2 linked regions of the Macaca mulatta genome follow. The protein of the gene in region 1 purifies or fractionates together with the protein of each later gene. This does not show direct contact. Links are inferred from orthologs where the notes say so. Each region holds a gene or a part of one and is shown on either strand. Other genes may lie near its edges.

What was found.
Region 2: the proteins of TSPYL6 (region 1) and PSME3 purify together in Homo sapiens (affinity purification with mass spectrometry; 3 studies listed by BioGRID and IntAct, counting the BioPlex papers as one, with this or other methods). This does not show direct contact. The link is inferred for Macaca mulatta from reciprocal best matches to the Homo sapiens genes TSPYL6 and PSME3.

The regions. Positions count from the first base shown.
Region 1 is NC_133418.1:70,388,895-70,392,810, forward strand, and holds the start of TSPYL6 (testis-specific Y-encoded-like protein 6), read left to right. Parts: upstream 1-986; 5' UTR 987-2,908; coding exon 2,909-3,916.
Region 2 is NC_133421.1:67,183,019-67,186,934, reverse strand, and holds the start of PSME3 (proteasome activator complex subunit 3), read right to left. Parts: upstream 2,271-3,916; 5' UTR 2,036-2,270; coding exon 1,994-2,035; exon of another isoform or gene 1,487-1,993; coding exon of another isoform or gene 1,412-1,486; intron 1,324-1,411; coding exon 1,291-1,323; intron 1,201-1,290; exon of another isoform or gene 1,167-1,200; coding exon 1,104-1,166; intron 910-1,103; coding exon 805-909; intron 1-804. UniProt on the Homo sapiens protein: Subunit of the 11S REG-gamma (also called PA28-gamma) proteasome regulator, a doughnut-shaped homoheptamer which associates with the proteasome. 11S REG-gamma activates the trypsin-like catalytic subunit of the proteasome but inhibits the chymotrypsin-like and postglutamyl-preferring (PGPH) subunits.

The sequences.
Region 1 (3,916 bases):
TGCTCAGGTCAAAATCCTTGGAGTCATCCTCGACTTCTCTCTTTCTTTCATACCCCATGCTGGGAGGTGGGGCCTTTAAGAGATGATCAGGTTGGTAAGATGGATTTAAGTCTTTGTTGCAAGGCTGGATTAATTCTTATGGGAATGGATTAGTTTTTGAGAGAGTGGGTTGCTATAATGCTGAGTCAGCCTCTTTTGTCCATTCTTTCCCAGGTGCTTGCTAGCTCTTCTGCTTTTTTGTCATGCTACTTCATAGCATAGCATATCGGACTTCTCAGCCTCCAGAATTGTGAGTTAAATAAACTTTTCTTTATAAATTACCCAGTCTCAGGTATTCAGTTACAGCAACAGAAAATGAACTAAGAGATCCCATAGCCAATTTACCATGAAATCAGGCTGACTCTACCATCATACTATATCCACCATCTACCTCCATTGCTACCACCTGGTCTGAGAAACATCTTTTACCTGGGTTAGTGCAGCAGCCTCCTAAAAGATCCCCCTAAATCTACCATTGCTTCCATACAGATTATTTTTCACCCAGGAGTCAGAGTGATTCATGCAAAACTAAAGTCACATTTTGTGTCCTCTGCTCAAAATCCTGTAGTAATTTCCCATTTCATTAAGAATAAAAGCCAAATTTCTTACACTATCATACAAGAACCTACTTGATCTAGCCTCCCTCATTCACTTTGCTCCATCCATGCTGGCCTCCTTGTTATTTCTTGAACATTCCAGGCATGCTCCTGTCTTGGTGCTTCTGCTTAGCACTTCTCTTCCTGAAATGCTCTTCTCCAAGATTTCTACTGGCTGACTCCCTCAACTTCTTTGACTCTTTGCCAAAATCTCATCTTTTCAATGAGGCTTCCTCTGACCACCCTATTTCATACTACAATCTGCTCCCCGCTCCCTACCCACAGAACTTTCCATCTCCTTACTCTATTGTTTTTTCCTTAACACTTATAACTTTCTAATGTGCAATTATTATTTTCCTGTTATTGTTATCTTTCTCCTCTGCTAAAATGTAAACCCCAAGAGGGAAGAAATCCTTGTTCTGTTCACTGTTATATCCAGAGGGCCCATAAGAGTACCAGGCACACAGTAGGTACCCAATAAACATTTGTTGAATGTTTAATAAATATAAAAATGGATTATGTGTACCTTGAATGTTTGGTAGTAGTTGCCTCAAAATCATTTGAACCTCACGCTACTTTTGTGGAAAGATTTTTTTAAGCTACTGATTCCATTTATTTACTGTCTCTAGGTCTATTTAGATTTTCTATTGCATTTCAGTCCTTGTTGATAAATTATACATTTCTATGAAGCCATATATTTCATCTAAGTTTGAAAATGTATTGGCATAAAGCTGTCTAACATCCTGTCATATTTCTTTAAATAATCAATGTGACTATGTTTTCCTTTCCAAATACTGTTTCTCTTTTTTATTATTAATCTTTGGTTGATACTCTGTATTGTCTTACATAAATTTCTGTTTATTATTACCTTTTATCTATGTCCTTTGGCCTAACTCTATTGGTCTTTTGTTTATTACTCAAATTATTTTTCATGATGAGTGATACAGCAGTTGCCAATATTTCCAGTTTCCTCCTTCCAGGCTCAGGAGGAGGTTACACCTCCCTGTCCTATTAAAGTTAGACAAGGTCAACTGACTAGCTCTGGCCAATGATTTATGTCACTTTTGATGGAAACATTTAAAAACCTATGAATGTGGAAAGAATGGTCTTTTCAATAAACAAGGCTGGGTCAATTAGATATTCATATGGAAAAAAACAAATTGTGACCCTACTCATAAAAATGAATTCCAGCTGGATGGCAGATACAAATTTGAACAATCTTGGTGAGATAAGGTTCTTCATTTTTAAATTCTTTTTTGAAATAGAGATGGGGTCTTCCTATGTTGCCCTGGCTGGTCTCCAACTCCTGGGCTCAAGTGATCTTCCCACCTCCGCCTCTCAAAGTGCTGGAATTACAGGTGTGAGGCACTGTGCCCAGGCAAGAGATAAGATTTCTTAAACAGAGCAGAAAAACACTAAGGTAGAGGGGGAAATGACAAATTGACACATATTAAGATGAAAAACTTTTGTTCCTCAAAAGGTACCATTAAGATGATGAAAAAGTAGGCCAGGCGCAGTGGCTCACGCCTGTAATCCCAGCACTTTGGGAGGCCAAGGTGGGCGGATCACCTGAGGCTAGGAGTTCAAGAACAGCCTGGCCAACATGGCAAAACCACATCTCTACTAAAAAAAAAAAAAAAAAGAAAAGGCTGGGCATGGTGACAGGCACCTGTAGTCCCAGCTACTTGGGAGGCTGAGGCAGGAGAAGCGCTTGAATTCGGGAGTCAGCAGCTTCAGTGAGCTGAGATGGCGCCACTGCACTCTAGCCTGGGCAACAGAGCCCGTCTCAAAAAAACAAAAAAACAAAAAAACCTCAAAAAACAGAAAAAGTAATCCACAGAGTGGGAGGAAATATTTGTAATATCTATACTTGAAGAATGACTAGTATCTAGCATGTACAAAGGCTTCCTACAAATCAATATGAAAAAGAACACCTGCCCAACAGAGAAATAGGGAGAAGCCTCAGATACTGCACAAGAGAGAATATCCTAATGGCCAAAAAACATATGAGAAGGTTCTCAGTTGATTAGGCTTTGGCTAAATGCAAATTAAAACCGCCATGTGATACCACTACTCATCCAGCACAATGGCTAAAATAACGATGCACAGGACACCACCACAGACTCGCGAGACTGAGGGGTGGGTGTCGCGAGACTGAAGAGTGGGCGGTGCAAATAGTCGAGGTGTTTACTCGCCATTTTGTGTGAGGAACGTTGACGGGACCCACCGTTGTGGCCTGGCCTCTACCGACTGCCGCCCTGGCCGCTACCAACATGAGCCTCCTGGAGAGTCCTCACAGGCCTGCTACTCTCGACCGTGCCCCGGAAGACCCGCACCAGGGCCAGAGGTCCCGAGAGAAGAGCAAGGCGACACAGGTAATGGCAGATGTGTTTGAGGGCCGCTTGGAGCCAGTCGTGCTCCCACCGCCCCAGCTTCCAGAGGAGGGGGTCGCACCCCAGGATCCCGCAGATAGTGGCCGTACTTTCCACATCTTGGTCGATGGGAGTCGCAGTCGTGGAGCCATCAAAGCTGGACAGGAAGTGACTCTACCACCCGCGGAGGGCCTAGAAGCAGCCTCTATCTCGCTGACAACTGACGGCAGCCTCAAAAATGGCTTTCCGGGTGAAGAGACGCCCGGCCTAGATGGGGAGAAGGCTGTAGAAACCTGTGGTGCAGGGAGGTCGGAGTCTGAAGTGATTGCAGAGGGGAAGGCCGAGGACGTGAAGCCTGAGGAGTGTGCCATGCTCTCAGCCCCAGTGGATGAGAAGCTAGGAGGCGAGGAAATGGACATGGCGGAAGGAAACAGAGCAACAGATGAGGTAAATAAGGATGCAGGGCCTGGGCCCGGGCCCCTGAACGTGGGTCTCCACCTGAACCCCCTGGAGTCCATCCAGCTGGAACTGGACTCCGTGAATGCCGAGGCTGACAGGGCCCTCCTGCAGGTGGAACGCAGGTTTGGGCAGATGCATGAATACTACCTAGAGCAGAGGAATGACATCATTCGCAATATCCCGGGCTTCTGGGTCACTGCTTTCCGCCACCACCCACAGCTGTCTGCCATGATTAGAGGCCAAGATGCCGAGATGTTAAGCTACTTAACCAATTTGGAAGTGAAGGAGCTCAGACACCCTAGGACAGGCTGCAAGTTTAAGTTCTTCTTTCGAAGAAACCCTTACTTCAGAAACAAGCTGATTGTCAAGGTGTATGAGGTCAGATCCTTCGGCCAAGTGGTGTCTTTTTCCACTCTAATCATGTGGCGCCAGGGCCATGGACCCCAGTCC
Region 2 (3,916 bases), on another chromosome or scaffold:
TTATCTCGGCTCACTATAAGCTCCGCCTCCTGGGTTCATGCCACTCTCCTGCCTCAGCCTCCCGAGTAGCTGGGACTACAGGCGCCCACAACCACGCCCAGCTAATTTTTTGTATTTTTAGTAGAGATGGGGTTTCACCATGTTAGCAAGGATGGTCTCCATCTCCTGACCTCGTGATCCAACCACCTGAGTCTCCCAAAGTGCTGGGATTACAGGTGTGAGCCACCGCGCCTGGCCAAAGCTAGTTCTCTTTTATTTGAAACTCACTCTAACACTGAGAGTAGCATTAGCACATTCACTTCACATCGTAAATGAAACTCAGGGTCTAAAAGGAATATACCGGAGGCCTCGTGCAGTGACTCACGCCTGTAATCCCAGCATTTTGGGAGGCTGAGGCGGGTGGATTACTTGAGCTCAGTGGTTTGAGACCAGCCTCGGCAACATGGTGAAACCCTGTCTCTACAAAAAATACAAAAATCAGCTGGGCATGGTGGCACACTCCTGTAGTATCAGCTACTTGGCGGGCTGAGGAGGGAGGGTCACTTAAGTTTGGGAGGTCCAGGCTGCAGTGAGCAGTGCTCACGCCACTACACTCCAGCTTGGGCAAAAAAAAGTGACGCCCTTTCTCAAAAATAAATAAATAAATAAGAAATAAAACAACTATACTAGAGTCATCATGTCTGTAACAGTCCTAGTTCCCAGATCCAAATCCCACTGTTGCCTCTGTACATCTTAAACTGACAAGGAAACAGAGGACAGAGGACCTACTGCTCAAGAACACAAAGATAAATATAGGACACTTACACCATCCAGTCCATCATGGCTATTGGTGAGAAGAATGGGGTCAGGGACTGGGAGATTCATGTCAGAGTGGATCTGAGTTAGGTCATGGATGTTTAAAATTGGTTCCTGAAAGACACCCACCCCAAAACATTAATCTTTTCAAGCTGAACAAAGAAGTATTTGATTGAAGAGCAAGAAATGAAAGCGCTTTTACAGTTTAAAAAAATAAAAAGAAGAATCAACACACAATTAGTTCCAGTTGACAGTAATACCAGGGCCAAAAAAATAGGGGAATTTGAGGAAAGAAAAGGGTCTCTCACCTTCAGAAAACTATCAAGTTCTAACAACTTCTTTGGGAAAAAATTTGCCACCAAGTCTTCTGCCTAAGGAGGAGGGAAAATATAGCTGAATTAATATCTGTGGGAAGGTCTCTCTCTCTCTCTCTACAGATATCTCCTCTTTGGGAAACTCTCAACCAACACTCATTTTTCTATTTATTTCACTCACCTCACTTGTGATGCGTTCCCTGAAAGAATCAACCTAAAATTAACAAAGAGAGCAATTCAGTACCTGGAGACAGAGGTAAGAGCAGGATAGAGAATCCCAAATCCAACTGTCTTTCCCTCACCTTGTAACTGTAATAAGAAGCTGAGAGGCCCCCAGACTGCAAATACTTTATTTTTTTGAGGATCCATTTTTCCATCTCAGGAGAAGAAAGCAGGGCTTTGAGGGCAGCACCTGCCTGTCTCCTCTCTCCTCTCCCCTCCCTCCCTCCTGTGTCTGAAGCTGTCTGAATTTGATAAGCAGACAAAAGACAGGTAGTTAGGAAAGATGTGAGCTCACAAACGTGCCAACCCCCACCCAGACCTGGCCTATGATACCAGGCAGGCCAGCCACCAAGGGCAGAGGCAGTGTCCAGGGACGTTGTTGGGCTGGGGGATTTCCAGCTGTCACTGGCCTAAAGCCCTGAGTCCAACACGTGTCCGCGGAGGTGTCCCCGGGACTCTCCATCATCAGACGCGGTACAGAAAGCCATCCTATATTTTCCTCTCCCGCGAAGCCGACCCCGGGAGTTGGGGGCTGGGCTGAGTTGAGCGGAAGCTCAGAGCTGGTATCCCCAGGGAGACAAAGACGACATGGGGAGTAGGAAGCCAGTCAGACTGCTGGGGGATCAAAGCGAGGGGCAAAAAGGCCGGACCGGTGCCGCTACCTTGAGCTTCACTTCCTGATCCACCTTCAGCAACGAGGCCATGGCCGGGCCGGGCCGTGTCCGATCCGCTGGACACCGGAGGCGCTGTGGACTCCAGGGAGGGGGCCGGAGGGACCTGAGAAATCTCGGCTGACCTCGGGACCCGGCCGCCCTCGCTGGCTCACTCACTGCTCGCTTGCTCCCTCCCTCCGTGCCGTCCGCCCGCCCGCCGGCAGCCTGCTGCCTGGTCGCTCTCTCGCTCGCCCTCCCGGCTTTCGCCGCTCACGCCGGAAACTGCGTCACAGCCAATCGCCGAGACTCCTGCGAGGCTGTGCACGTGCGCTGCGCAGCCGCGATGAGACTCGGGTTTGGATGCTCCCCGGGGTAAAGTGTTGGGTAGGGGTGAAGTAAAAAGGAGAGCTGTGGGGAATGGTGCGCTGAGAACTGAGCCTCCGAAAGACTCGGAAACGGTGCGACCCTCTCTGTTGGCCCGGAACTCGCCTTCACCGAAGGGACCTCAGTCGCTGCAGTCCCGGGGACAGCGCCGTCGCGCCCCAGTGACGTAGGCTCGGGGAAGTCGGGGACCCGGGTACTGGGTTCGGGGGTGTAGTCCCTGATTCCCGCTGCCTCTGCCCGTTTGCCGAGGCTCAAGTGTTTAGGCTAGAGCGAAAAACACAAGTGCGGTTGTACCAAGCTTTCCTGGTACATTTCCCTGCCAACTGACTGTCGTAAGCTTCCGGACCTCAAAGATCAACTACCTAATGGGCAAATTGATGCCCAGAGTAGGGCAAGACTTGTCCAAGGCGTTTCCAGTACATCCTGAGCCAGGACCCAGATCTCCTAACTTCTATGGCAGTGCTGTATCTATTTGCCTAATGGAAGCTTAAGACTATACCTCTTCATACACCCATTCATTCGATCTCTCTCTCGACATTGGATATTTCATTCAATAAAATGGGCCAGGGCACTGTCTCAGATTCTAGAAATATGTGAGTTACATATGTAGGTTGAAATCTTCTATTAGCCACAATTAAAAAGTAAAATAAGTGAAAATTTTAGTCATATATTTAACCCAATTTATCCAAGTCCTTCAACATGTAATCAACATTAAAAAATCGAGATCTTATGCATTCTTTTCTCATACCAAGTCTTCAAAATCCAGTGCATATTTTACACTTAACTGCACATCTCAATAAGAAAATAACACATTTACAGTACAGTGCTCAGTAGCCACATGTGGCTGCTGGCTTCTGTATTGAACAGCACAGCTCTGGGAAATCAAAGGCAAACAAGATTCAAGGTTGCTGGTCTCATGGGGCATAATATTGGAAAAACACCAGAAAGTAAACTGACAAAGTAACTGCAAAATTTGATAAATATTAGGAAACAAGTGTATGACATAGAAAATACCAGAGATCTATTTTAGATCGAATGGCCAAGGAAGGCCTCTGAACAAGAGACAAGCTGCGATCTAAAGGACATAAAGGGGTTAGCATGGAAAGAGTGAGAAGAGCCTTGAGACGTATAAGTGCAGCAAATGCTCTAGGGAAGGAAAGAGACTGTCTTGAAGACAAAGACTGGTGAGCTGGGGGTGAGGAGGGTTGTTAGTAAACAATCTAGATTAAGTGCAAAAAGAGGTCATCAGATTTATATTTTGGGGTCGCTCTTGCTGTTGAACATTTATCCTAGACTGGCCTCTCTACTAAGTGCTAGGAGAATGAGGGGAATACACAATTAAATGGAGTAAAGCACAAAAGACTGACTATGGCCTTTGGAATCAGAGACCTGTGCCTCAAATCCCACCTCAGCTCCTTACTAACTGGAATCTTGGGCAAATTATTGAAATCCTGAGTCAATTCCCTCATCTGTAAAATGGAATTTTAATAATTAGTAATAAATAATAGTATGTAATATTGTAGTGTTGTGAATATTAGAAATAATATA